4 linked regions of the Rhinolophus ferrumequinum genome follow. The protein of the gene in region 1 binds, or shares a complex with, the protein of each later gene. Links are inferred from orthologs where the notes say so. Each region holds a gene or a part of one and is shown in the gene's direction. Other genes may lie near its edges. The genes, in order: NUP205, CETN3, NUP85 and NUP98.

What was found.
Region 2: NUP205 (region 1) and CETN3 share a complex: the UniProt entries of both Homo sapiens proteins name them as parts of the nuclear pore complex. The link is inferred for Rhinolophus ferrumequinum from reciprocal best matches to the Homo sapiens genes NUP205 and CETN3.
Region 3: the proteins of NUP205 (region 1) and NUP85 are in contact, whole or in part, in a cryo-EM structure (PDB 7TDZ), measured with the Xenopus laevis proteins. The link is inferred for Rhinolophus ferrumequinum from reciprocal best matches to the Homo sapiens genes NUP205 and NUP85. Residues at the interface, in XP_041443600.1 of Xenopus laevis: Glu1477, Cys1480, Arg1481, Cys1484, Asp1485, Ser1517, Gly1518, Tyr1519, Leu1520, Lys1521, Val1522, Val1524, Asp1525, Ser1574, Gly1575, Gln1582, Gln1638, Gly1641, Gln1642, Gln1645, Val1648, Leu1690, Asp1691, Ile1692, Gly1693, Leu1694, Asn1695, Asp1696, Gly1697, Ser1698; in XP_041431608.1 of Xenopus laevis: Ala86, Glu87, Glu88, Ala89, Ser90, Gly91, Lys92, Ser93, Arg94, Lys95, Pro156, Pro239, Met240, Gly245, Thr246, Gln247, Thr248, Leu249, Thr250, Glu251, Phe252, Glu253, Leu254, Lys255, Trp256, Gln257, His258, Trp259, Pro315.
Region 4: NUP205 (region 1) and NUP98 share a complex: the UniProt entries of both Homo sapiens proteins name them as parts of the nuclear pore complex. The link is inferred for Rhinolophus ferrumequinum from reciprocal best matches to the Homo sapiens genes NUP205 and NUP98.

What each region holds. Positions count from the first base shown.
Region 1 is NC_046309.1:12,424,671-12,432,292, reverse strand, and holds the start of NUP205 (nuclear pore complex protein Nup205), read left to right. Parts: upstream 1-4,608; 5' UTR 4,609-4,826; coding exon 4,827-4,854; intron 4,855-7,622. UniProt on the Homo sapiens protein: Plays a role in the nuclear pore complex (NPC) assembly and/or maintenance. May anchor NUP62 and other nucleoporins, but not NUP153 and TPR, to the NPC.
Region 2 is NC_046290.1:59,221,840-59,228,760, reverse strand, and holds the start of CETN3 (centrin-3), read left to right. Parts: upstream 1-3,906; 5' UTR 3,907-4,028; coding exon 4,029-4,045; intron 4,046-6,042; coding exon 6,043-6,178; intron 6,179-6,921. UniProt on the Homo sapiens protein: Plays a fundamental role in microtubule-organizing center structure and function. As a component of the TREX-2 complex, involved in the export of mRNAs to the cytoplasm through the nuclear pores.
Region 3 is NC_046304.1:50,238,504-50,245,347, forward strand, and holds the start of NUP85 (nuclear pore complex protein Nup85), read left to right. Parts: upstream 1-3,836; 5' UTR 3,837-4,108; coding exon 4,109-4,141; intron 4,142-6,844. UniProt on the Homo sapiens protein: Essential component of the nuclear pore complex (NPC) that seems to be required for NPC assembly and maintenance. As part of the NPC Nup107-160 subcomplex plays a role in RNA export and in tethering NUP96/Nup98 and NUP153 to the nucleus.
Region 4 is NC_046294.1:47,376,208-47,383,781, forward strand, and holds the start of NUP98 (nuclear pore complex protein Nup98-Nup96), read left to right. Parts: upstream 1-4,574; 5' UTR 4,575-4,705; exon of another isoform or gene 4,706-4,830; intron 4,831-7,574. UniProt on the Homo sapiens protein: Plays a role in the nuclear pore complex (NPC) assembly and/or maintenance. NUP98 and NUP96 are involved in the bidirectional transport across the NPC. May anchor NUP153 and TPR to the NPC.

The sequences.
Region 1 (7,622 bases):
TATACTATGATTAGTATATTAATTCGTCTTTATCAGGCACTTATTCATAGCTCATTTTTCCTTTCTTTTATCCCCATACTTTACTCTCATTGTTCTTCAGTCTGATCATCCTGTTATTGCAGCAGAATACCTTCTAAGTGTTTTATGTTAAATTCATGTTATTTCACCAAATCTTTGCAGCAACCCAAGGAAAGTATTATTATTTCTGTGTTAATAAATGAGGACACTCAGGCTTGGAGAGGCTGAATAACTTTCTCATTATCACACAGTAAGTCACTAGCAAAGTAGAAACTTAGATTCACGGCAAGTCTTAATAAAAATCTCTCCTCAACACCAGCAGCATATTGTACCTTATTTTCACTTTCTTCCTGAAATCTCGATGCTTCAATAATGTGCAAAGAGAAGATACAAAATAACCTTCACTGAAGAATGACCGTAAGCCCAATTGAAGCAGAGAAATGGCACACAGGACAGCTTCATGTTAATCTGGAACCTTTCTTAAACTCTTCTTTTTCTAATTTATGTATTAATTTTTGCATTGTTTACACTTGGGAGTATTTCCTATTGTCCTTTGTTTCTGAGTTGACATCATGCCCTGAACAGTGCAGTTTATTTCAATGCTTTCTTGTTCCTCGTCCACAGTTTCGCTTTGAGTATTCTTCTGATGGGATGAATGCACTACTCCTTCGTCACACACAGAATTCTGCTTCCCTCAGAACTCCTCACTCTCCTTCACACTCTCCCCGCCCAAGACCGAGCCAAGTATTCATACTAATTCCCAGAGTACTATCCAGACTTTTTTGGATCAGATAAATTGACTTAGCCACCCGTACTTTTACATTCATTTCCCTGCTTTATGTCTTGCACCATTGTGGCACATACCTCTGTCAGGACCAAAGTTCCCACATGGTTTTCAACCTCTCAAGGCAGTTCAACCAGCTAATTCCTTAGCTGGAGCCCTGGTGTTTTTATAAGAGGAAACATGGAGTATCATATCCTCTTTAGGTCCATCAGAAAAAGAGAAATCCAGGCTGCTGCTTCTAGAGTTTTCAGGTACTTGCAAGAGAGATGGTTTGTGAAACCGTCTTCCAGGAGCCCACAATATAGTCTGGCAATGGGTAGGAGACAGGAGCTTGACCTTTCCTCAGCCTTATTCATTCAACAAACGTTTACTGGCTACCTTTGGGTACCTCTACTTTTCTATGTGGAGCGTTCAGCCCAGAGGGAAAAAGTGGTGGGAAATTATAATGCATTATGGGAGAGCATAGCATTTAATCCAGACCAAAGTAAGGGGGTCGGGTAGGGGAAGGTCATGCCTGAGAAGAGTAACCAGATGAAAGGACTAAAGGTATTCTAGAATGAGAAGCTAGTGCCAACAAAGATTTAGAAGGAAGGAAGATGTAACTAGCATAGCCAGAGGGACATACTCCATGAAGAAGGGGGGCTTCCCTGGTAAAAGGCTCGGGGAGCTGGAGGGGCTGAATGTTTATGTAAGTACAGTAGTCCCCCCCTTACCTGTGGTTTTGCTTTCTGAAGTTTCTGTTACCTGTGGTCAACCACGGTCTACAAATATGAAATGGAAAATTCCAGAAAGAAACAATTTATAAGTTTTAAACAGCCGTTCTGAGTAGCATGATGAAATCTTAATCTGTCCTGCTCCTTCCCGCCCAGGAGTTGAATAAAACCTTTGTCAGCATATCTTGGCCCATTAGTCACTTAATAGCTGTCTTGGTTATCAGATCAGGTATGAGAGAGAGAGACCACATTCACATAACTTTTATTACAGTATATTGTTATGATTGTCCTATTTTATTATGAGTTATAAGTAAGTTAATCCTTACTGTGCCTCACTTATAAATTAAACTTTATCATAGGTATCGTATATATAGGAAAAAACAGTACATATAGGGGTCAGGACTATCTGCGGTTTCAGGCATCCACTGGGGATCCTGTGAATAAGGGGGGGAGTACTGTACCCCCAGTTAGCACTTATTTTGCCTTCGAAATCATTTTTGTTATTTAGCAAACACATATATAGCACTATGTGTAGGATTTCGCTACGTGGTGTCTCAGGGCAGCAAAACAGCAAAAGTGGACACAGCCAGCCCTCTTAAATTCTAGGCTCAGAACTTGCCCAGTGTAACTTGCATTTTTTTTTTTTTTTTTTTTTGGTTCAAGCAAGTCATAAGGCCCACCCAGATTCAAATGTGGCAGGCGATTACAGCAGGGCTTGAATTCAAGGACATGTAATTCCTTGGGGGCCTTTTAATGACAATCTTCCATAAGATGCTAACAGTTTTAGTGGGAAGACGATCATTAGAGCACATAGGGCTATAACAGAGTGCAATAGGGATGTAGGGAAATTGGTTGTGGGGAATCAAAGATAGCATCAGGGAAGCAGCATTAACACAGGCCCTGAGACTTGGAAGACCATCATTGTGTTTGGGAGGTTAACTTGGCGGGTGGTCAACAGAGGATTGGGGAAGGGAAGGAAGTGCATTCCAGGCAAATAGAACGGCAGGTTCAAAGGCATCAATACACCATACCAGAAAGCATGCTGTACTTGGGGAAATAAAAATAATATTCAGAATGGTCAGGGTAAAGGGCACTTGAGAAAGAGTGAGGTGAGGTGGTTGAAAGAGGCTGAATCTCATCAGAAAGTAGCATGAGTGTCTTGCTAAGAAGTTTCAGATATTACCCTTAGGTAATAGGTCATTGAGAAATTTGATCAGGGCAGGCACATGATGTGATTTGTGTATTTGACCATCACTTTGGGAATCCATGAGAGGGAGATGAGATGGAAGTCAGTCAGACCAGTGAGAATACAATTGCAAGATATCAAGTAAAAGAAGATGAGACCCGATGAAAACAGTGGCCTGGGCAGCGGAGAAGAGAAAAAGTGTCCCAGAAATATTTATGAGGTAGAATGAATAGGATTTGGCAATTGAAGAAAGAATATAGAATGACTCCCAGGTTTCTGTCTTTAGCAACCAAGTAGATATAGGTGGTAGGGTTCTAAGAGAAAAGTGCTCTTAAAGTTTTGGATTAATTGATTGTTTTCGAGATGGTTATGTGACAATCAGTAGAGATGTGGGGTAGACAAGTTGGATATACAAATCAAACCCAGCAAAGAGGACAGGGCCAGATACAAATACAGAATTCATCAGTAAATAAGTGGATTTCCATAGAATAAAAAGAATATAGGCTGGGGATGACTGAAAGGGAAGAGCTACATTTAATGGTGAAAAGAGAAAGAGAAGTTCCTGTAGGAAACTTAAAAAGAAGAACTAGAAAGATGGAAGGAAAACCAGAAGTTGTGATACTCCACATGTCAAGGGAGAGAATGCTTGTAAGTGTGATGATGGGTGAGAGTGTTGTAGGAACTTTTTTGTTGTTGTAGAAACTTAAAGAGTTCCTTCATAGAAAGCGAAGTGAGCTACGAAGAGGGACGTGTGTGGGCTTAAAAATATGTGGAGGGGAAGGCTTGTAATAGTTGTGCTGAGAAAGAAAATCTTTGAATGCCACTTCCTGCCAAGTTTCTCCTCAGTAGTCTTCTCACTTTCACGCTAAACTTCAGGAAAAATCTCTTTGCCTTTTCACTTTCTCTCACCTTCACTCCTTAAAACTATTTCCGTTGTAGTCTGGCATTTGTCTCTACATAACAATGACTTTCAAAAACTCATCAATGACTTTTGTGTACCAAAATGTCACTTAATATTATCTGTTCAAAAGAATGAATATACCTGATATTCTTAATAACATATTCTCTGATTTTGTCTAAATTACTTAATTCTGATTTCCAACAGTAAAATGGGAATATAAACTGTTTTCTCCCAACCTTAGTGGAATGTTGGAGGAGTAAGGCACATGGAAATCTGAGCTAAGTAGCTATAATTAATCATCTTCCTAATAGGATTATTTCAGGGATTAAGTGAGATAATGAACTAATAATAATAATACAAAAAATATATAAAATATGTAAGATACAAAATATAAAATAATGTATAAAATATTACATATAATAGGACTATTACTATGTATTATTATAAGATAATGTAAAATTCTCAATAAATATCTGGCATGTGATAGCAAGTGGTAATGACCATATTTTAGTTTGAAAATTAGCAAACTAAAATTTAGCAAGTGAAAAAGGAAAGTACAGTTATATGGGAGTGGTTAGGTAGAAAAATATTTGGTGTTTATGAAATGATATGTCTGTAAATTGCTTCAAAATAAGCTCCCATGTTGGGGCTGGGATATAGGATTGGGTCCTGCTATTGAAGCTGGGCGTTCACTGTTCTAATTTTGGGCACAGTTGAAAATTTCATAATAAAAATTATGATTTGTTTCATTTTGATTTGTTTCACCCTGTAAGGCACCTTACCCCCCCACTCTCCAAAGTAAGGGAGTAATGCCAGGAATATTTAATTCGAAATAGAGATAATGATTTGAATTTGTGGCTTTTATAATATCATAAATGGGCGTCATTTCAATAACTAGTCTCAGAACATCTTTTTGTTTCCCCTAACCAACTTTCTTCATCATTAGAAACTACAAATCCCAGGATGCACTGCACGAGTAACGTCAAATCAAGGACCTCGCATTTCCCAACTGGTTGCCCTCGCTTTATTTGAATGGGAATAATCCCGGCGAAAATTGACGTATGTGACCCAGAGCAGATTTTTCAATAGTTGTACGCCTGAGCCGGTCGAGGTGCAATTCGGAGTGGGCAGCGTGGTATCTTTCTGTTCAGGTGGCGCCACGGGCAGCCTCACCCTTTTCTGGGGCTTCTGTGCGGCGGAGGGCTCCGTTAGTGCGCCTCCAACATGGCGACGCTGTTGGCGGTAAATTCGGGTAAGTGTGGCGAGGCAGAAAGGAAACGGGGGCAGGGCAGTGATCGGTTCTTCAGGGAGACACCTGGGCCGTGAGGTTCCTTGGAGTCCAGGCCCCCAGTTGCGCAAGTGCCCGCTTCTCACTAGGTCTGGGCCTAGCGTCCCTCCCCTCCCCGGTTTGAATGGCGCGCGTCGGCGCTGCGGCTCTAGCCCTCGAACTGGGGTGTGAGGGTCGCGAGGCACGGAGGCTTGGTCCACTGCAATCGGGCGTGCAGTCTCTGCCAGCCCAGGGCCGCGCGTGGGCCTGCCCACTCCGCACCCCCCGTTGTGTCTACGGCCAGGATCTCTCCAGGATTCGCGAGTCTCGGGCAGTGAGGCCGGAGGACCTGAGATGTTTCAGCCACGAGCGCAGGCTGACAACACGCACCCCAAACTAGGCACTGGGACCCTTCCTGGAGATTGGGGGGGTCCTGCAGGAAGCAGGATTATGAAGCCTGCAACCCGGAAGGTGGCCATGAAGATGTGTCACGGGCTCAGCAAATGACTCCCAGTTCCCTGGATGCTGCTAGACCTTTGGAGCGGCAGATCTTCGGGGCGGGGTAGAATCTAGAAGGTAGTAAAGGAACTCTGAAACATTTGGGGTGGGTTCTCTTCTGGGGATTCTCGACCCGGGGCGGTACCATCCCCCTGCCCCATGGGACTTTTGCAAACGGGTGCATTTTGATTGTCACAATTCCTGGGATGAACTGTTGGCGCCTAGTGGGCGGGGCAAGGATGCTTGAAAACGAATTGCTTGCTCAGCAGGTCAGTTCCTGCATTGAGACGTATTTAGCTTCCTGGGCACAATTAAGAGCCTATCTGTGTGGTAAATGCTTGTAGAGAATCTCACTCAAGAGGACTCTTTCTTGCGTGCCTTTTCTTTTTCTGCCTCCATGCAGTCATTTTTGTTGGTTTGTTTGTTTTTTTGTTTTTGGTGTTGGCTCTTTCCACAGGACTGATATTCTTGAAAAGTTGTCTAAATCTAAGTTTTATAATAATGGTGATGTTTATCGAGCACCTGCTGTTTCCCAGGCACTGAACTCAGTTGTATTTTCATCTCCTTTAGACCTCTTTGTACTCCTATGGGGTAGCTGCTATTAAATACCCCATTTTACAAATTTGGAAGTAGAGGCTTAGAGTGGCTAAGTAATTTCCCTAAGGTTATACAGCTAATGCTTCTAAGCTAATTTTTGATACTTAAGCTACTATATGCTACTACTCAAACACAACCTAATTCATTTTGTTACATCAATTTTTCATATATCTGAATGTTATTAATGAAGTTACTTCCTTAATACCATGTTTCCATGAAAATAAGATCTAGCCGGACTATCAGCTTTAATGGGTCTTTTGGAGCAAAAATTAATGTAATTATGTTAGATAAAACCCGGTCTTATATTATGTTAGATAAGACCCGGTTTTATAGTGAAATAAGATCGGGTCTTATATTAATTTTTGCTCCAAAAGACGCATTAGAGCTGATGGTCTGGCTAGATCTTATTTTCGGGGAAACACGGTATTGCTGCCCCACTCTCCCACCCTGATGCAAACTTAAAAGTAAGGCTTGCGTGTTATACGTGTGGTTATATACATTTCTTTAGTACCTACTCATGCCATTAAACATAAATAATTGAAAGAAAAAGGAGTTGTCAACAGCCACAGAGAGTATACATTGTATCAGGCCTTGTGGCAGGAGTGTTTAATTGGCAACATAGAAAGGAAACATTTTTAAAAACCAAGAGTCAGTAAAATATGTATTTAAAAATTAAACATCTTAGGGAAGCAACCCAAAGATGGATGAGTGGATAATCAGTGTGGTGTATACATACAATGGAATATTATTAGCTTTAAAAAGGAAACCCTGTCTCATGCTACAACATGGGTGAACCTTGAGGACATTCTGCTAAGCAAGCCAGTCACAGACAAATCCTGTATGATTCCACTTCTATGAAGCATCTAAAGTAGTCAAACTCATAGAAACAATGTTGGTTGCCAGTGGCTGGGGGAAGGTGGAAATGGGGAGTTGTTGCCCAATGGGTATCGTTTCAGCTTTGTAAGATGAAAAAGTTCTGGAGATGTGATGTACAGCAATGTGAATGCATTAACACTACTGAACGGTACACTTAAAAATGTTTAAGACAGTAAATTCTGTTAGGCTTTTTATTTTTTTTAACCACAGTTCCAAAAAGTCAAACATCTTAAGAATTGTATTAGGTTGGCGCAAAAGTAATTGCCATTTTTGCAATTATTTTTAACCTTTTAAACCGCAGTTACTTTTGCACCAACTTAATAGAAGGGGAAAAATACAGAGGTTGAAGAATTCTAAGACCTATGCTTAAGACCTTGAGTTTTTGCTGCATGATTTTCTAGTGTTGTGACTTGTATCATCCCGGCTAAGTAGACGTATAGCTTGTTGTCAGTACACAACTATTAACACTACTTGACAGTCTTTCTGTGGCAGTCTGTGGACCCTGTTCTGTTCACAACAGTGACTATTTGAGACCTTTTCACACTCCTCAAATTTTTAACTTCCAACCCACCCCTCGGTCTCCTAGTCACAGAGCAAATAGAAGCCAACAGGCCTGAACTCTTCTTTTTCCCCCTTCAAACCTACAAGCCTACATACATCTGCACCCTTTGAATCAGTTTCCCTGTCTGTGTCTTCCTATTTAAGGTAAATCCTACCCTTTCTGCCCTTCTCCCTGTTGTATATGCGTCTCTTGCTTGCTCCTCTTCTTTCCACTCACCTTC
Region 2 (6,921 bases), on another chromosome or scaffold:
ATCTGTTAATATTTTCTTATTGCATTAGTCTTCTAGGACTACCATGACAAAATACCACAGATTGGGTGACTTAAACAACAGAAACTTATTTACAGTTCTGGAAGCTGGAAGTTGAAGATCAAGGTGCCAGCAGAGTTAGTTTCTCTGGAGGCCTCCCTCCTTGTCTTGCAGATGGCTGCCTTCTTGCTGTGTCCTCACATGGCCTTTTTACTCTGTGTGCGCACATTCCTTAGTGTTTCTACCTCTTATTTTAAGTACATAAGTTCTGTTGGGTTATGACCTCATGAAACTTAATTACCTCTTTAAAAGTCCTATCTCCAAATACAGTCACATTGGAGGTTCAAAATTCAACATATGAATTTTGGGGAGACACAAATTTGTTAAGAGAAAATGTGAGAATTTTAATTTCAATTATATTAAATGTACAGATTAATCTAGGATATAATCAACATTTTTACAATATCAAATCTTCCTAACTAGGACCTTCTTGGTTAATTTATTAAAAGCTCATGTACTTTAGTATTAGGTTGGTGCAAAAGTAATTGTGGTATAAAAGGTTAATAATAAATGCAAAAAACACAATTACTTTTGCACCAACCTAATAAAATTTTGTGATTTTTCTACCTACTGATCCTACAAATTTCCTGTTAAATTTATATGTAGGAATTTCATATTGCTATTATTTTATGATGTAAATGCTCACTGATTTTGCAAATTTTTCTGAAAACAGCTACTTTATTGAATTCTTTTATCAATTCCAATAGTTTGATACTCTTGGATTTTTCCAGGTAATCATATCACCCACACATAATTTTATATATCATATCTTTTTCTTGTTTTATTACATCATCGATTAGAAGTTCAAAGATAGTGTTGATAACTGCTTTAATAGTGCCTGTGGCAGAGCTGCTAATCCTATCTTATTTTTAGTTATTGATGATCTGACCACAAATTTTAGCAGGGCACATGGTTTTACAGCTAGAGAATTTTTTCCCCAGTCTCCCTTATAGCAAGGAGTGGTCACTAAATCTCACTAATAAAATATGAGCAGAAGTGATGCATGTTCACTTCTTAGTCATTCCCCTAATAGGAAATCCTGTTGAAAACATTTTAGTTTAACATTTAAAAATCAGTTTCCCTAAATTATTTTCTTATGAAACCCATTCTTCATGAAATGACTATATCTCACAAAATTCTAGTATTTCATGGATCAAAACTGAGAAACACTACCATTTTATTAAGTATATTGTTCAATTTAACAAAGTACCTTCTACACCTGGTTTATTAATATACATTTTATTAGGAATAGATGTTGAATATTTCTAGTGCCTTTTAGGACATTGAGATGATCTCCTTAAACTACAGTTATGATTAATTAATATAGACTTCTATTTTGAATTATCTTTGCATTTTAAAAATACATCCTATTTGGTTATAGTTCCTTTAAGGCAATACCAAATTGATTTTTGCCAACATCTAGAATTTTTTACACATATGTTCACTAATTAACATCAAACATGAGCGAGGCACATACAATGGTGGGCAACATGCCCACATTCTCAACATGGAGCATACATTCAGTAATTTTAAATGCTTTTTAGGATGCTAAGTGTTATGCTACCTTCAAAAATTAAGCTAAGATGCTTTCTATCATGCTTTGAGTTTAAAGCACAATAATCAGCTTTTCAAGGATTTTTAAAACTTATCCATAAATCTGACTGGGTTCAATGGATGCCTTTTTATTTTGTGGTACAGAACTTTGGCATCATTTTTTCAGTCTTATCTATAGTTATTGACTTAATTTAGTTTTCTGGTCTTTTTTTTTTTTTTTGAGTCCTTATCTTTGTTTTCCTTGAAAAGTGACTTTCATTTTGATATTAATATTTATTGGCAATATTTCAATAATTTTGAAACCTCTTTTAAACTACCAACCTTATTAATGGCAGTATTCCCTTGATTGTTACACTTCCATAAATGTCAATTTTATTGGTATTGCCAAGAACCATGTTATGAGAATACCCTACACATTTATTAACAATTGTCTTTTTAAAATTTGTGTTCTAATTCGTTTGTCATTATCTTTAGTAATTTCTTCTCATTTCAAGTAGTTGATTTTGTTCTTCACTTCTAACTACTTCAAATAAATACCTGGTTTATTTTCAATTTTTCTTATTTAATAATTTTCTTCTACAGCTTGGTCTATGCCTTACAATTTTACTATGTAGTTTTTTCATTGTCATTAACTTCTAGTGTGTAGAGATGGTCCATGACTAAGATGTTTCAATTCAGGATATTCAAACTTTATGATGATGTGAAAAGTGATGTGCATCCCGTAGAAACCATACTTCAAATTTTGACCTTTTCCAGGGTAACCTATAAGCAGTATGATACTGTCAGGAGGCTGGACACTGGCAGAATTCTGCAGCTCCCAGTCAGACAGGGAATCACGAGGGTAAACAACTAATACTCTACAGTGAACTTCATTGTCAGTGTTTTTTTGGATATCATGTTCTGAGCACAGTTAATGTACAGCAGACTAAGCTATGATGTTCGGTAGGTTACATGTATTAAATGCATTTTCAACTTAACGATACTTTCAATTTACCATGGGTTTACCTGGATGTAACCCAATCAAAAGTTGAGAATCATCTGTAATTGCAATTTTACTTTCCTTTTAAACTCAAAGGTGATTTATAAAGGTACTTTAAAATGTAAAGTTTTCTGCTTTTGTTTTTTTGGGGGGAGGAAGGGAAATGCTTTAGTTATTTTCAGCTTTATTCGATCATACTATCTTTACTTGTTCCAATTTAGCTCATCTTCCTAGGCCTAATATATATGTAATCTGCAAGAAGTCTTTCTTCTACCCTGCCTGTTCTCTCCCTTCTCTAAACCTTTATACATATCACTTTATACGCACACCATGGTGTTTATATATTTTCCCACCGCCCACCCCGCTAGATCTTCACCCTCAGGCTCTTTATTCCTTTGAGATTTGTAATTTAGTTCAGCACTTTGTGAGTTTTCACAGCAAGACTCCACTCAATGAGCAAGTATTTATTGAGCACCTACGTATGCCCCATTGTTAGGCACTGGGAAGAGCATTAAATGAAAGATATAATCCTGGCCTTCAAGAAATTCAGCATAAGAGATGAACAACTAAACATATTAAATACCAAGTGAACTTCGAGAGACTTGGTGTGGTAGGGGAGATAACGTGTACAAGCAGCTTACAGCACTGGAAATAAAGGGCAAAAGTGAACAAATCCGTCCAAAGGAGGAAGGGGGGCAAAAGGGTGTTTAGATACAGCTTCACCGTAAACAGGTTAATAATCCAACACAGTGATTATTCACATATATATAATCCATAGAACCTGCCTCAGAATCACTAGGATAGTTTGTAAGGAGAGAGGGGGAAAAAAAAAAAGCTGATTCACAATCATTGGCATCAGAATGGGGGTAAGGGGCATTTAAATTTGCGTTTTAAACAAACTCCTGTACTTAGGCCTTCCAAGTTTATGGAATACAGAAGAACTAACTTTCGCAGACCTCTTCCCAGAGGACAGCCTGCAGCGTGTCTCTTCTCTTCCCACCCTTTCCTTCCCTCGTCGCTGTCCGTCTTGTCTCCGGACAATCGCCCACAGTCCAAGGCCACCTCCCGCGAGGTGAGGGCCACCCACCCATCCCCGGGACCACCACGCAGGGACTCAAATCCTCGCTCCGCAAAGGATTCGGGGAAAACGCAACGGGCCAATCTAAAGCGCGAAAGAAACAGCTGGAGAGGCCCGCGGAGAGATTTATTTGATTGACGCGGAATGTGCCCAATGAGAGCAGAGGACTAGTGATGCCTCCACCTCAATGGGCATGGCATTAGCAATTTCAACCAATCCGGCTCGGAAGTGTCTACCTTGTGGGAGGTCCTCAAGGCCGCTGAGGTCGTTGGTGTGTGTTGAACAGCTTGTGGAAGTCGTGCTTCTTTGGGTAGGAGGTTAAAGTCGTTCTTGAGAGGAACGTCTCTGTCCGAAGAGAAAATGAGTTTAGCTCTGAGGTCGGTAATGAGGAGGCGGGAATGCACTCCACAGCCCGCAGCGGGCCCCAGGGCGGGTGTGTGTGGAAGGGAAACAGTTTGGGGCCGAGGCGAGGAAGGGGTTGCAATTTGGGAAGAGGGAAAGGAGCCTCGGCCAACCTTCCCGGGCCCGGACTCCTCAGCCTCCGAGCCCAGGTGTGCTGCAGGTGATGAGTCCAGTGCATTTCTGCCGACGTGGTCATACCTGTTAGCGCCTTGGCTTTTGGACCGCCTAAGAGATGGCAGCTGTTTTAGTTCCAAGGAGGCAGGGAAATATCGCGAGGTTTTTAGCGTTTCTGCGAGAAATCAGGCCCTGGAGCATCTCTTCCTTCAGTTCCTCCTTGGTATACGGCCCCCACCTCAGCTGCACTGCTCCTGACATAATGTATATTTTGGAAATAACAAAACTCCTTCTTGCTCTTCTCCTGGGGCCCTGATCTACGGTTATTTGGAGACCCCAATTACCTACATTTCTTGAGTTTCTTTACCTTTCATTCAGTTCCACCTTGTAATCCTCTGTTGGTTGCCCCCTCCCCTAGCCTCATCTACTGGGGAGCCAAAAAATGTATACACATGACTTGTATTTATGTTCAGTTATTGGTATATATTGAGTATTACAATTTTAATACAGTTTTTTTCCTTTCTTAAAATGTGTATACCTTTTTTGGCAACATCTGGAGATGTTTTACCTTAAAAATAATTATATAGTTACACCACTCTTAAAAAGGTGTTGTGTTCTGCTATGGGATAATGGTGGTATATCTTTGGATGGGGTCAGTTGTCTGTCGATTGTGGACTTGGCAGCTTTGAATCGTGGGAAGAAAATTACTCCAGTAATGTTCAAGCTGGTGTGAAGTCTGGGCTCTTGTGAAAGATCTTCAGCTTTATCCTACCTCTTCTAGTCATCTCTTGCCTTTGTTTTTCTTTTTATAGATTTCAGAGAACACCTTCAAATGCGAATAGATCACGTGTTCTAATAAAATCAACTGGGTTTTACATTTTAAAGTTTTATAGAATTTTCTGTTTTAAAACTGCTACAAGTGTTGCAGCCCCATTTGAAAACTTAGAACGCTTAGGTTGATTGGCATCTCTTAAGGAAGACATTTCTGGCTTTTAAATTTCCTTTTAAAAGTTTTTTCCAGAGTTTATGAGAAATTAAATCTACATTTACATGTTAAGTGAGACTTGACCATTGACTCTTCATATTATTATGTAGAATTAGCACAAATTTTATGTAACTTTTGGAGTTTAATAGTAGTGATATCTTTAGACTCAATATTTTGACTTATTTGTTAATGTCGGTGGAAGAAATTATAAAGCGCCAAACTTAGAAATGAGTAATCTAAAAACATTTCTAACCTACAATGCCAAAAGACTTTTTAAGTTAATTGATAAATTACACGTTTTTTGATAGTAATTTTGATAACAATTATAAGCACTATCAAAAGTAAACCAAGTATATCGTGATTGTCAATTATAAATTTTACTTTCTTTTTTAAAAAACACTTTATGTTGTAGAATGATTTGAATAATAAGTATGTTTTTTATAATAAATTTGTTTTTTTGTTGGGGTTTCTGACATAAAGGAATGTTTCTTATTCACAGTTCTTGCTTTGTCCACAGTAACATTTGTGGGAATAAATACAAAGCTAGGAAGAAGGAAAGTTAGGTCCTCATTTTTTATTTTTTAATAAGCTGTAGCATTATTAAAATTTTTTTTAATAAGTTTGGGGAAGTGCAAGTTTATAGCAGCTCAAACTATGCAATGATCAAGGCTTTGACTCATGTAAGGATACTTTATCAGTCTCCAGATACATCTTTTAAGAAATTTAGAAAATTATTCACTGGTTAAATTTTTTGGTTGCATTTTTGAAATCTTAATCATCTACAGGCATTAGGAGAATAGGATTTAAATAGACTAAATAAAGTGCACTAAATAGGATTTAAGTGGACTAAACTTTATTCTTTTCATTTCATAGAAATGAACTTGTAGTAGACAAAACAAAGAGGAAAAAAAGAAGAGAACTCTCTGAAGAACAGAAACAAGAAATCAAAGATGCTTTTGAACTATTTGACACCGACAAAGATGAAGCAATAGATTATCATGAATTAAAGGTAGTAGTATACTTTAAAATGTAGTATATTTTTTTCTGTAAAAATGCTTTGCATTTTTGACAGTTGGTTAAAAATACATTTCTAAATAAGTATTTTAACTAAACTGTTTTGGAAATTTGAAACCCTTTTAAACATTCACAGTTAAGTGCTATAATAAAATTGAATAGTACTCTAACATATTCTAAAATAAACTCCTTTTCATGGTAAAATGAATAGCATTTTAAATGTGAAAAATATATTGCTATGGAGGGGCTTATTTTTTTATTTGCATAATTGAATTTTTTCAAACTACAGGATGTAAGCCGTTTTTACTGTATTCTTCTCCCCACTTTTTTTTTTGAGACGTTCTTTTTTCCAGTTGGGGGAGTGTTATTTATCTTTTAATTTGAACATTTTCGTAACAGTTTCAACCTACCTTCTCTGGTGCAAACAACATACATGATGTGTGATGTTGACCCAATGATAAATGGGGAAAAATGTCTCCTTTAAGGCTTAGAATTACTTATAAAGATAACGGGAAATTAGTGTTTGGGTAGTATGGATCTGACACTCAGCACAGTGAAAAACCTTTTTTGTAGCTCTTTAGCTCTTTTTCCAGCTTTTTTAAGTTTTTCTTTTATAATGTCTCTTTCATTTGTTGCCACTGTTTTTATCTTGGTTTGGGATCTTATTTCATACCTGGAGCTTCCTAAATGGTTTCTCCATTTCTAGTTCATCTTGTACACTACCATTAGATTCATCTT
Region 3 (6,844 bases), on another chromosome or scaffold:
CATCTTCATAATCTCAGCAAATAACTAAGTCCCGAGAGCTGGTGATCAATAAGAGTTCACTGACTTATTGATGCAATAGTAACATAGTCCTTATCATGAGAATGCCAAAAATGCCTAAATTAGGGTTTCTGAATTCCTGTTAGTTATGTAGTCTTTACATTGGAATGATGATTTCAAGTTCTTCTAACCCCATTAATGCTCCAATCTTACTTCTCTGTCCATTACTAGATTCAAGTAGGTCTCAGTGACTCAAGGATGTTTGTTTCATAGAATGAATGAGAACAAACTGAACTAAGCTTATATTCTGCAGCTGTGCCAAATATAGATAATATTTGCACTCTTCAAGTTCTTGTGATTGATTACTCCCCACTGAGGTAGAAAAGATAGAGTTGGAAGGATGGTTCTTAAAGGATGGTCCCTTGGGCAATATCACTTCCACTTAGAAAGGTCAGGAGGACAAATACCTGAGCCCCACCCCAACCTACTGAATTAGAAGCTCTGGGGACAGAGCCCAGGAATCACTCAATTAATGGTTTAACAAGCCCTCTAGATAATTATGAAGTTCCCTAAAGTTTGAAAACCACAAGGCTAGAGCAGCTTTTACACCTTCAATAAGAAATATGTCACATATTTCTCAACTTGAAGTCTCATGTGGCCAGATATACATTAGTAGGACTATAAAGCAGGTTTTCACAAACATGGTCTTATGTAGTATCTCTATATGTATTAAAAACTTCAATGAAACATTTTTTAAATAAAAATTTTTACTTCATATTCCCATAACACCTGTCTCAATTTTATTTTCTAACTTTTATCCACACGTAAATTTCTTTACATTAATTGTCGAAATATACAATTTTTCGTTTGCTCTTAAAAACTGAAAATTATGTGGTAAACATGCCTACTTTTTCTGATTTTAAGAGTAATAATACTCATTTCTGCCAATCTTTTTCTCTACATATTATTTTTTACAAAATTGATAAAACTTTTAACAAAATTTTACTACATTTTACCTTTATAAAATTTTGCTACAGTTATCTTTTAATGATTGCACATTAATTTTAATGATTGCTGTGAGACTTTGTTTTTTGGTTATTCAAAATGTCCCTCTTATTTCCTAAAAATACAATTATGGAGACAAAAAGGTGAACATTTTAAAATTTCTTGAAAGACTTTCCCATATTCTTATCAGTCTTCATAGTTCTTCTCAATAGGTGAATATCTCACTGATATATTGTCTTCCTCTATTCCTCAATGGATGAACATCTATGACAGTTCTTAGCACGGGTGATTTTACCCCTAGGGGATACTGGGAATATCTAGAGACATTTTTGGTTGTCAACAATCATTAAAAGGTATGAATGGTATCTAGTGGACAGAGGCCAGGGATTCTGCAAAACATCCTGTAAGGCACAGGACAGCTCACAATATAGAATTATCAGGCCCAAAACGTCAATAGGGTGGGATTTGAGAAATTTTGTTGTTATCTATATAGCACTTACCAAAATTCACATACCTTTTGTGTTTTGAAATTATTAGAAATAAAAGTTCAAGTGAGGACTTACTGGATCAAAGTGCATAAATATTTCTATGGCTCCTGATAATAGATTTCTACCTTGTTTTCCAAACTTATTATGTCTCTTGAAATGATTATGTATTTATTTCTCTGCAGGCTACGGAGCATTGGTTCTACTAGAATGAATTAAATGCATCCAATTAGCACTTTACATATGGCATATCTCTAGCACAGTTCCTCTGGCTTCATCTGAGAATGATTCTAAGTTTGACTTTGGAGTGATTTAAAGTAAGTTCTAGTTTGACTCTTGTGCGATAGGTATGTTTTGTTTTAGGAGATTTTTGATTCCAGAAATATTATACTCTTTCTGTCTTCCTAGGGTTCTGATATACCTCAAGTTGAAGTGTCTCCTGCATGATTGAAGACTCTCCAGAGTAGATACAGGAATTCCAGAGTTAAACAACCACTCTAGGGAGAGGAGGAGGGAGAGTGAAAGGAGGGGGATAAAGGGGGAGAGAAGGAGCTTGTGAAGAGGTTAAGAGAAAAAGATTTGTGTACTGGTTATTTTTTTTTTTCCCAAATGTATTCCTTTAGGCTCATCTGTTAAAAAAAAAAAAAAAAAAAAAAAAAAGGATAAACTACTTCATTGAAACCCCATTCTTGGAAGACTATTGAGAAGGACCAGAAGGAAGAAAATGATCTATGTATAGAATAATAACTCTATTAGCTGTAGTTTTCTTTTTTTCCCCAATTAATGAATGTATTTGAATGATTGTGTAAGGTTGCTTGTATATAATGGTATTAGAACAAAGAATAGTTTCAATACTTTTTTCCAATATTATCTATCGCTAGGTCAGTTTCAATACTTCTGTTATCTTCAAATGACATTATGTCAGTCTTAAAATATCAAAAAACTATACTACTAAAATTTTCTAAGCTCCTTTGTTGTTCAAATTATTTTTTTCTCAGGTCTCCTTTAGAGAAGATGGTTTTTCTTTTTGGTCTTTCATCCTATTATTTTTTTCCTTTCCTTCTACTCATCCTGTTCCCCAGAATAATTAATAATTTTCTCTGAAGGAAATTAGGCATATTTTCTATCAGTGTCTTAAGCTTTGCTTTAACTTCTGCTGCTCAAATAATTTTGAGTCGCCAGAGCAGATATAATAACTAGTTTTTTTAAACTGATCTATTTGCTACTGTTTATTTTACTTTTGTAAAATATTAGGCCTCTTTTTACCTCTTAAGGATAGGGACATAAATGCATAATTTCTCATACTTCATAGCCACACTATTGGTGCCAGAACACTTGGATCAGTGAAAATGTGAAACATTTGGAAAATGCACCAAGCTATAGATGGTAGAAGTGTGGAGTTTTGTGCAAAACTACATTAAATGTCATCCTATTGATGGCTGTCTTAAGAGATAAGGATTTGGATGAAATTGTGATAGCCACAGGATTTTCCTTCCTGAATTTGTACCTAAATAGAAAAAACTGTTGGTGTGAGATTTTCCTAACCACTCCAAGTCATCTCATTTCAACCAATTCAAATAGGTCATTCAGAGTAATCTCAGGGAAAGAACTGTTTCCCCGGGTAAAAAACTGAAACTTGATTTTCAGATCAAGTATCTTTCCCCAAAAAAAGAAGCTGTTACATTTTCAGGCACTGTTTCCTAAGACTTATTTTTTAATTTCGAATTATCTTCAGTTAGTTAAAAAAAAAAAAGTGCTTATTTGGGAATGTAAAACCAGCACTATTCTCTTCTGTGTGTGTGTGTGTGTGTGTACGTATTTGTAAATATGGCATTTACAAAATAAATAACTCCTTTAAGTTACTAGAGCACTAGTAACTTAAATGAGTTTCCCATTAACAAGACCGGGATTCTCTGACTGTGGTTTTTTTTCCTTTTCCTGCTTTTCTTTGGTGAGATAACAAACCAGTATTTGTGTTGAGTTAAGCAAGCCCAGCTGTCCCGATTTCACAGTTGTCGGGCTGCATCACTTTTGTCCGCGTGCTGCTTGAGCGTTTTGGGGTGGGAGTTGGCAGCGACTGCCTCCGTCCACAAGCCCGATAGACCGGGGATCCCTTGCCCTGGACACCGCTCACAGAAGCGGCCGAGACAACACTGAGCTGCAGACTCAGAAGCCGCAAGGAAAGCCAGAGTGGGGACAGGCGGTACGCTCGCTCGAGCCCGGCCCCCGCCGCCTCTCCACGCAGAGTGGCCACCCCAGCCCGCGCACGCGCAGCCGCCCCGCCACCGCTCCCGCCGTCTCCAGGGGCTTTCTCCCCGCCCCGCGTGGGGCTGTCCCCGGCGGCGCCTGATCTGGCGAGAAGGTTCCTCTGAGGATCGGCTGCCCCTGGCGCCGGTTTCCCTGACGTGTTGTCGAGGCCGCGAAGGAAGAACACGAGTAGAGTGCCGTAGAGGGGTGGCCGTGGCCGAGAGGAGACGCCCCTGCAGCGTTGGTGATCTGGGCCTGCAGGCAGTGCAGGAGGGGGCTCGGGTCGGGTCCTCTCTTGCAGCGGCTCTGAGCGGGAGGCCCGAGCCGGGAGCTGTGCTGGCCTCGCGACCTCCCGGCAGCTGAGCTGCGGCGCTATGGAGGAGCTCGATGGCGAGCCGACAGTCACTGTAAGGGCGCCCCAAAGAGCCTGGTTTGCCCTCGCGGCCCAAGGATTGAGTCTGCTTCATCACTGCAGGCTTGTCTACCTCCCTGCCTCCCGGGAGGCGCCCGCCCCCTTCTCTCAGCTCAGTTGCCACCATCCGGAGGTCACATTAATTAGCTGCCCGTGTTTGGATCGCAGTGGTCGCTGGGTTTCTGCTGCTTCGTATGCTCAGAATACCTGGCCCCAGAGGCCTCACTCCGTCCCTCTCCCTCCCTCGTCTTTGCGCCTTTCTATTCCGCTCGCTTTTCTCGTTGGGCTAATGCTCTAAAGAGCGCGCTTGGACTCGGCAGAAGAATTGGGGCTTTTTTCCTTCCAGCCGAACTTAGCTTCACATCGCAGCGCCGTGAGCTTGGCTTCTGCTTGTGCTGCGCTTGCCTAAGGTTTACTAAACGAATTTATTCTCTCGGGGGACTATCTCCTTTTTATATTTTGCTTTCAATTTGATCTGAACTCTGAAGACAGTATGTCAACTGCTGCAGATCCAGGATTTTAAAAGAAATTCATAGCCTGTAGATATAAAATACCTACCGTTCCCCCTGCCTGGAATGCTCGTTTCTTCTCTCATCTCCAGCTCGTTTTTTAAATGCAAGCTCCGGCAGCTTGTGTCTTAGGAAAGCCTTCCCTAACCTCCCTAACTACGTCCGACACCTCTACCCATTGTGGGCTGCTTCTGCACGTCTTAGCTCTGGAAGCCCCACTAAACTGAAAGTTGCTATACCTTGTGCTTTTGCTTTCTAGATAGTTGAGATGCCTACAGTTTTTAGCCAAAGACATCAGATTGCAAAGCAGTGTCCGACAATACAAAAAATTGAAAATAGGGGTCATTTCAAAGCTGACTGGACAAAAGGAGGCATGAGATCTTAAATAGCAATTAACATGGGTTGTTATGCTCTTTAAAGCTTACTGCTGTAGAATGTTCCAATTTAATACCTATACAGAGTACTTTAAATATTAACTATCCATCAAGGACTGTGTCAGTGTTTGTGGGAAGACAAATTAGAACATCAGAGTCACTGGAACTTTTTCAAACTTTCCCTCTCTCACTTGTGTTAGACTCCTTGGGTCGGGGGAGCCTTCCTAGTACCCTGTGGTGCCCTGGAGAGCCACTGCTTTGATACTGTGCCTTGATAAAGAGCTTCATTACAGATGGAATGAAGATGATCTCAGCTTACTTATTTTTATACCCAGTAGTGATGATGGACTTGTGATAACCCCAGCTCTATATTCGTGCTGGGGAGACCAGGTAGAAAACTGGTTGGCCTCATGGGCACACACAGGAGGGGCATTGTAGTCCAGAGTCTGAAGCTCACCTCTGCGAGTTTAAACGCTGTCATGTCTGTTTTTGAGTGTTCATCTGCCTTTGGGGTTTACTCTAAACACATTCTCAAGAGACTGATGAATAATTGTGAATACCATTAAGTCACCCTTTATGGCAGTTGTATCCGCTTTTCACACAACTGCTCCCTATTGTCAAGGCACCTGAAGTCCAGTTAGTAACTGGCAGATTCGAGGATATTTAAATGTAGATTCAAAGTAGGTAGAATAATCTTGAGTAGTTTTTCTAGACCACTGGTCTTCTTTTCCTTTTGGTTCAAGAGCTCTTAAAAAGTGTAAGTTACAGTTTTCATTGTCTTTTTTGTTTTGTTTAATTCCAGATACATACCTAAAAGGAGAATTGCTGGGTTATAGGACAGATGCATATTTAGCTAAAATAAGCTCAGTTTTCCAAAGTGGTTGTACAGTTCTTTTTGCAGCAGCAAAGTCTGAGAGTTCCAGTTGTTTCTCATCCTCATCAATTCTTTGTATGATCAGTCTTTTTAATTTTCATTTCCATTCCAGTGGGTATTTAGTGGTAGCTCGTTATTTTCATTTGTATTTCCCTAATGAGTATCTTTTCACGGGCTTATATGTCATTTGTATATCTTCTTTGGTGAAGTGTGTGTTAAAAATCTTTTGCCCATTTTGTTACTGGGTTGTTTCACTAATGAAATGTAAGAATTCTTTATATATTCTGGATATCAAATACGTGTTTTGCACATATTTTCTCCCAGTCTACGGCTTGCCTTTTCATTTTCTTAACAGTATCTTATGAAGAGCAAAAATTTTAATTTTGTTGAAGTGCAGTTTATACATTTTTCTTATGCTATAGCTTATGCTTTTTGTGTCCTATATACATCTTTGCTTACTTTCAGGTCAGAAAGATTTTCTACTATGTTTTTCAAGTTTTATAGATTTTGCTCTACATTTGAGTCTGTGACTAATTTTTAGTGAATTTTTGTCTATGGTGTGAGGTTCATTTTTGCATATGGATACCCATTTGTTCCAGCACCATTATGTACAAATAATGCTTCCTCCTTGCCCGCCCTACTCATCCAATACGAGTCTGCTAAAACAGATTCTGTTCTGTGTGTACCTCAGACTTAGCATACTTCCCCTTTTCTGACTGCCTGTTTGTTTATTGGTCTCCGTCAGGAGACCACTAGCTTTTGGAGGACACAGACTGTGGTACACATTGTTGTATTCCTAGAGCCCAGCACAGAAAAAGGCTTAATACACATTGCTTAGTTGTTGAATGACCGCGTTAGCCTTTCCTAAGAACTGAATGCACTTAACTTGTCTTGAGACAAGACTATTGACGAGACTATTGCCAGCCAAATTCGTTGTCTGC
Region 4 (7,574 bases), on another chromosome or scaffold:
TGACCATAAAAAGGAATGAGGTACTGATGTACAACATGGATGAACCTTGAAAACATTATGCCAAGTGAAATAAATCAGACACAGAGACCGCATATTTATGATTCCATTTATATGAAATGTCCAGACTAGACAAATCCATTGAGACAAAGCAGATTAGTAGTTGCCAGGGGCTGGGGAAGGGGGAGTTGGAGAACGACTGCTAATGGAGCTGGGGTTTCTATTCATGGTTACGAAAATGTTCTGAAATTGGACAGTCGTGATGGTTGCACAACCTTGTGAATATACTAAAATACTAAATATACTAAAAACCTCTGAATTGTACTCTTTAAGTGGGTGAATGTGAATTATATGTGAATTATTATTATACGTGAATTATATCCTCATGTTATGTGAATTATATCTCAATTTAAAAAATCTGACAAAGATCTGGGTTTCAATAAATGGCAATTATTATTATAAATAAATAAATAAAGGAGAGGAGAAATCTGGTCAATATGGCGGAGTAGAATCTTAAAAAAAGAAAACAGTTATTCTCATAAACTAACGCAAGTGAGAAATGTGAGGAGGAAAAATAAATAAAGGAGAGGCAGAAAAATAATTGAAAGGACAGTAGAAAGTATAAAGTGTTAGATAAAATCCTGAATATACCAGTAAATTCATTAACTGCAATGAACTAAATGCTCTAGTTAAAAGTCAAAGGTATTGGGGCTGGCCCGGTGGCTCAGGCGGTTGGAGCTCCATGCTCCTAACTCCGAAGGCTGCCCGTTCGATTCCCACATGGGCCAGAGGGCTCTCAACCACAAGGTTGCCGGTTCCATTTCTCGAGTCCCGCAAGGGATGGTGGGCAGCGCCCCCTGCAACTAAGATTGAACACGGCACCTTGAGCTGAGCTGCCACTGAGCTCCCGGATGGCTCAGTTGGTTGGAGCACGTCCTCTCAACCACAAGGTTGCCGGTTCAACTCCTCCAAGGGATGGTGGGCTGCGCCCAGTGCAACTAGCAATGGCAACCGGACCTGGAGCTGAGCTGCGCCCTCCACAACTAAAATTGAAAGGACAACAAGTTGACTTGGAAAAAAGTCCTGGAAGTAGTACACACTGTTCTTCAATAAAGTCCTGTTCCCTTTCCCCAATTAAAAAAAAAATTTTTTAAAAATCTTAAAAAAAAAGTAATTAAAAAAAAAAGTCAAAGGTATTCACACAAGATTTATAAAAATACATGCTATTTGCAAACATCACCCTTCACTATCAAGTTATAGGAAAAGAGGAAGGAAGTCAACATTTACTGAGTGCTTACTATGTGCCAAACATGTACCCAGTCCAGTCCTTTGCAAATTCCATTATCTTATTTGAACTTTACAACCACCTTATAAAACAGGAATTACTGTGCCCATTTTATAGCAAGAAAACTGGGGCACAGAACAATTAAATAATTTGTGCAAAGTCTAAAAAGTAGCAGATCTGGCAGTTGAACTTAGCTGTATGACTCCAATTCTGCTGCTCTTTCCAATGCACCATGTAAGAAATCTAGAACCATCCCAAGGAAGTGTCTTGCCCTTCCATGATTCTGCAATCTCTAGAGGACTATCTCCTCCCTGAGCTCCAATTCCTCATTGCTGCATAAAGTGAGTTCTCAGGGCATGTATGTGAGAGACTGGGGGTTCCCAGGACAGAACTGGCCATGGCAGAGTTTTGAGCTGTGGACATCTCTGGGCTACTGATGCCAAAACAGGGCTTGGCTCCACAAGCTTTTGTGAACATACACCAAACTCCATGTCTGTAGAAGTTCTTCCCTGGGCAGAAATCCCTGAGAATGATGAGCTTGTGGGCCACATGCCTACAGAGTACCTAACAAGAGTCCTTCACTTCGAAACCACCATGTTCACAGGGAATTCCTCCCTGGAGCATTCCTCATCCAATTCGTCCTCTTCTCCCTCCAGTTTTCCCGCAAGTATTTAAGGGTCCTAGGTCTTGCACACCCACTAGTACTTTGGACTGAATGTCCTCACTCCCTCAAGACATATTTCTGAGCCCCTTTTCTAAGAATCATGTCTTAGACTAATTAGAATTCCTTGACATTTTTAAAGAATATAAATAATATCTACCATTCACTGAGGGATTACTGTGTACCAGGTACCTGATAAGTGCTTTATCACATTTAATTCTCACAATTACCCTGTGGGGAAAGTAGGGTTATCCCCATTTTTACAGACACGGAAACTGAGACTCAGAGGGGTTAAGAAATTTGCCCAAGTTCATACAGCTAATACATGGTTGGGCTCAAATATAAACCCAGGCTTCTCCAACTCAAAAATTTCACACTTCTATTTTTCTACTTAAGAAAATAATTCACTCATTCATGCATCAAACATTTAATGTGCGCCTGTACTGTGTGTTTGGCCTTAAGGACACCAGACTAAATACCGTGTTTCCCCGAAAATAAGACCTAGCCAGACAATCAGCTCTAATGCGTCTTTTGGAACAAAAGTTAATATAAGACCCGGTATTATATTATATTATTATATTATACTATATATTATGCAAGACTGGGCCTTATATTATAGTAAAATAAGACCAGGTCTTATATTAATTTTTGCTCCAAAGGACACATTAGAGTTGATTGTCCGGCTAGGTCTCATTTTCGGGGAAACACAGTAAGTAGGGGAAAGGTTTGGTTGGGTTTGAGGATTGAAAGATGACAAATCAAAGGTTCAGAAGGGCAATGAGGAAGCTATTGTAACTATCCGGGGAGAACTGATGACTTTCTGATGCAGCACATAGGTAAGAGAGGGTGGAGGAAAAAGAGAGATATTTGGGTGGAGGAGTTGGGGGAAGGTGGTTGGAGTCAGATATTCAAACTAGTTTTACTATTCGACACTCCACGTATTTTTTTCCTTCTTCTTTCAAGCATCTACTGAGCACCTACAAGGTACCAGATTTCTCCTATCCATTATCTTATTTCATCTTTATGACCACTCCACTGTTTGACAAATTAATCAATTATCTCCAATCTCTTGCCACCACTGAAAACCCACAGGGATTTAAGGTCACCTACTTTTGGGCAGAGCCCATTTCAATTTTGTATTGATGCCCCAGGAGGAGGCAGGCGGTGGTGGAGAGGTAAATCAAGTAGGCTTTCTGAGCACAGTCGGTGCTATTCTATGTGGGACTCTCAGTCACTAGGCCTAGTTTTTAGAACATGCTCAACCCTCCCCTTTGTAATATCAGGCTTCTGCACCAGGCTTGGCCCAAGGGAAAGGAACACCAATATTAAAGAAAAAAACCATAGGCCCAAGATGGCATCACTGATGCCAAAAGCCCATAATACCAAACCTCGATTTAATAATTGATCTAATTGTATTTTCAACCTCTCCTAGAAACATGACCTTAATCAAACCACTATGAAAATTTCTGGTCAAGCACCAGTGAGGTAACCTGTCACACAGGCCCTCTCCATCCTCCATAGAAAGGAGTAATCTACATAATAAAAACCCTTCCCCTTCTCCTCCCTCAAAGAAAAGATGTCAGAGCCCCAAAATAATCCTTACTTTTGCTAATAGCTCCCTTGCCTCACCCTTCTTCCTATAAAATCCTTCCATTTGTACAACCTCTCAGTTGCCTTTCCAGTTGCTAGATGGGATGCTGCCCAATTAATGAATGGCTTAATAAAGCCAATCAGATCTGCAAATTTACTTGGTTGAATTTTGTTTTTTAACACCAAGATGAAGAAAATGCAGCTCTGACCTCCAAGAGCCGCGGCACAGAAGACAGGAAAGTAATAGGATACAAAGTGACAAGGCTGTAACAGAGGCCTGCCCAAGCATTAACCCAACTTGCTGAGAGAGATTCAGCGAATGTATCCTAGAGAAGGTGGGAGCATTTGAACAGAACTTTAAGAATAACTGGGGATTCCTAAAGGGCAGGTGGGAAAGAAGTTCCAAGAATCCTCATTTGTACCAAGTTTTTTGCTGAACCATCCCCTTAGGGCATCTCTGATGCTCATAACATCTATTCTAGGGATTCCGAGAGGGAAAGGTGCTGGGGCTTGCGTGGGACAGGAGACCAGAAGGCCTGGTTTTAAGGCCTCGGAGCAGCTGCAGGAAAGCTACGCGGGCAGTCAGAGTTCCCAGGGGGGCCCTCTAGCTCTATAAGAGGTCTGGCCAAGAAGTGAGGGAAGGACGACCGGGAAACCTTCCCATCACCGCCCACGGATTGGGGCAAGGTGTGGGTAGAATAGTTACCATGCCATCCTGGAGCCTTTCCTCTGATTGGCTGGAGCTTCAGCAGCGGGTCTCTTCGCTCCAAGGAAGTGGGCGGAGCTTCGATAAGCGTCACCGCTCTTCTCCCACACCCCGCCCAACGTAGCCACTCACCAGCCCACTTCGAGGGGCCCTGTGTTACGTCACGACTCTCTCCCAGCCAACGGCGGCGGTGAGGGCCAGAGCTCCACGTCCCTCCCACCAACCCTCCCCCTTCCTCCCCCTAACTTCTTAGGCCCCTCCTCTTCCTCTTCTCCCCTTCTCTCAAAGACCTCCCTCACGTTGGGTTTCAAAAGAGTCGTTGCCCAATGAGTAACAGGGTGGGCCTAGAGTGGCGGCGGCGTTTGCCAATGCTCAGGCAGCGAGGGCGGAGCGCCCGGAGCGAGCCTCTGACGGCGGGCGGCGTGTGACGCAGTCGGGCCCACTGTGCGCTGCGCCCGAAGCGGCGGTAGGTATCGGCGGTGGCAGCGGCGGCGACGGTTTCGTGGCAGCCGCGCGCTGCTCGCTGAGCGGCGGGTGGTGGACGGGCCTAGGCCCTCACTCTTGACATTTCCCCTCCCCCACCGCACCACGGTAAGTCGGTAGTCGGGGCGGTGGCGGCCAGGGACCGGCAGGCTCCTCCTTTCTTCAGGGCGGGCGGTGCGCCGGGCGTCCCAGGGCCTCTCCGCGCCGAAGTCTCGCGCCCCGGCGGCACCTTCTGCCCTGAGGGAGGGGGCGGGGCCCGCAATCCTGCGGCCGGGAGGCCCGGCTCTTCCGGAACTGGAAGGGAATCGCTCTTGGTGGGGTCTGGGTCCGGGGTGTCTCCGGTCGCAGCCTACGCTGAGGGAGCGTCCATCAATCCAGGCTCATTCATTTGCCCGGCGGTGACTAGGTGGGCCGGTCCTTAGCGGGAACAGCGCTTTAACACCAGGAATATGGTCTCCCTGCACTTCCTTGACTGTTGTGTGGGATGGGCTTTATTTGCCTTGTCCTCTCCTACAGGAGACATTTGCAGCCCCAGGGTTGGGGTGGGTGGGTCGGGAGTTTGTTAGCTTTTTAAAACACCCGAGAATTAAGGTCGGTTTAGTGGAGTAAAAGATTATTTTCTGGCCTCCCACGTGTTCCATGTAAAGCTAGATGAGAAGAAAGATGGGGTTTCTGGATTACTATAATATATAGCCATAAGGATCTTAGAAATTAAGCCCATTTCCCTACTTCATATCACGTACAGGTTTTACAGATGAAGAAACCGAGGCCAGTGAAGGGACAGAATTAGCCAATTCCAGATCTGGCCCAGTCTAAAAATATGTCTACTACATCACTCTCCCTTGGTGTTCCACTTTCCATTATGAGGACTCCCTTCGGTTGTAGGGGTGAGGGACGGGGGCTGTCGGTAGTTAGAAGTAGGTACAGTCTTCAGTAGCGTTTCCGACTTAGTTACCACCAGCTCTGTTTGATTAGTGGTACCCTAAAACTAGACCATGAAAACTAAATTTAAACTTTGGTTAAAGAATGCTAGTAATGTTATGTATTGGAAAAACGAATCGGTAAAACCAGAAGTCATTGGCTAGTTTCCTGTTCCAAACCTAAAATTTTTATTTGTAGCAGCTGCAGGGGACTCAGAAGAAAGTGTCTGGTTAATGACCCACAGCAGTATTGGAGTAGAAAGCAGGAAATATAGCTGAGACTTAGAAAGGCAGACAGTCATTTTGTAGTTCTTGTATCTTGAAACTCATGGCTTCTCTCTGGTACAGAATTTAAAGTTTTGTAGTAGAAGAAGGTAAGAAAAATTAAACTCCGTTTTGGAAGAGGAAACTAACTAGAAGAAAGAAAAGAGAAGTAAGCGGTCCCTGTGACAGCCTTATAAATTCAGAAAGAAATGCTTGTGAATTGGGTGACAGATGCTATGTTTATTTGGTGGAAGAAGTCAGGATATTTAAAACACAAAACCAGAAGTTGGACAGGATGGAGGTACTGGGGAATACTTTGATAAAAGTATTTTTTGACTCTTCATTAAGATTTGATGAAATTGAATTTGTTGCTGCTTTGGTCTGTTTACATCACTCGGATCACCACTTTGCTCTTGTTTAGATGACAAAGCAAAAACTGAAAGATAGTGTGTAAGAGCAGAAGAGAACTGTAGTCTAAATACTAAAATGTGAACAAGGTATATTTTCTGTGACATTTCTCAGTTCAAGCATCACCCTATTCTAGGAAGCCTTTCCTGGCATTTTCTCCCCTGTAAGCTTCCGTAACACTTGTTTGATACTTTTATTTATAGCACAAATCATTTTGTGTTTTAGCTGTTTGTCTTTTTATTAGACTGGTAAAATATTTTTGTCTTTGTATTCAGGTTGACACATAGTAGGACCTCAGTAAGTGTGTTTGCTTGAATGAATAAATAAATACGGAGGAGTTAAACCTAAAAATAGTCTATAAAGAGGTTGGGTATTTGTGTGCTCCTGAAATGTGGGGCCCAGGTTAGAGTTCACATGGTACTTTGGTACCTGACCTTATTCACGTCCACTAGCACCTAGATAGCTAAGAGCAAGTAGAACTTTTAGGGAACCAATTTAACAGCTTAGGAAAAATAAGTTATTTTTATTGTGATATTTTTATGGTGGTAATTAACCTAGGAAGTAAGGGGTAGTAGTGCTGATGTTTAATTTCAAATAAAGAGCACATTTATAGTTATGAAATCTGTTGAAAGGTTGAAGGATTTAGAGATTTAACAATAAGTATTAGAGCCAAGTTATGTAAACATTTCTTGACAATTTGGTGCATTCTTTATGTTTGGAATTGAACCTAAATACAGTAATTCCTCATGTGGCATCGTCGATAGGTTCTTGGACCTGCAGCAAAACATTGTATAACGAAACCAGTTTTACCATAGGCGAATTGATATTAACAAGAGTTCCAATCACATCTCATCAACGTTATAATAAAATGACAATGTTGCGTGAAATGATATTATTGGAGGACTTGCTGTGTTCAACATAGTGTGTCTGTAGAACAAGGTTTCTCGGCCTCGGCGCTTAGCACTTTGGGCCGGATAATTCTTTATTATGAGGGAGCTGTCTTGTGTATTGTAGAATGTTTATTTAGCAGCATTCCTGGCCTCTGCCTATTAGATACCTGTAATACCCCCTCCCCAAGTTGTAACAATCCAGAATGTCTCCAGACATTGTCAGATGCCCCCTGGGTGGCAAACTTGCCCCTGATTGAGACCATTACTCTAGAGAAAACATTCCCAATATTTCCGTAAAATCATATCTTTATGGTGCCTGGTGTATGCTTGTAAAGTCAGCTAATAAGTTGTGTTTCGTTAAAATTGTCCT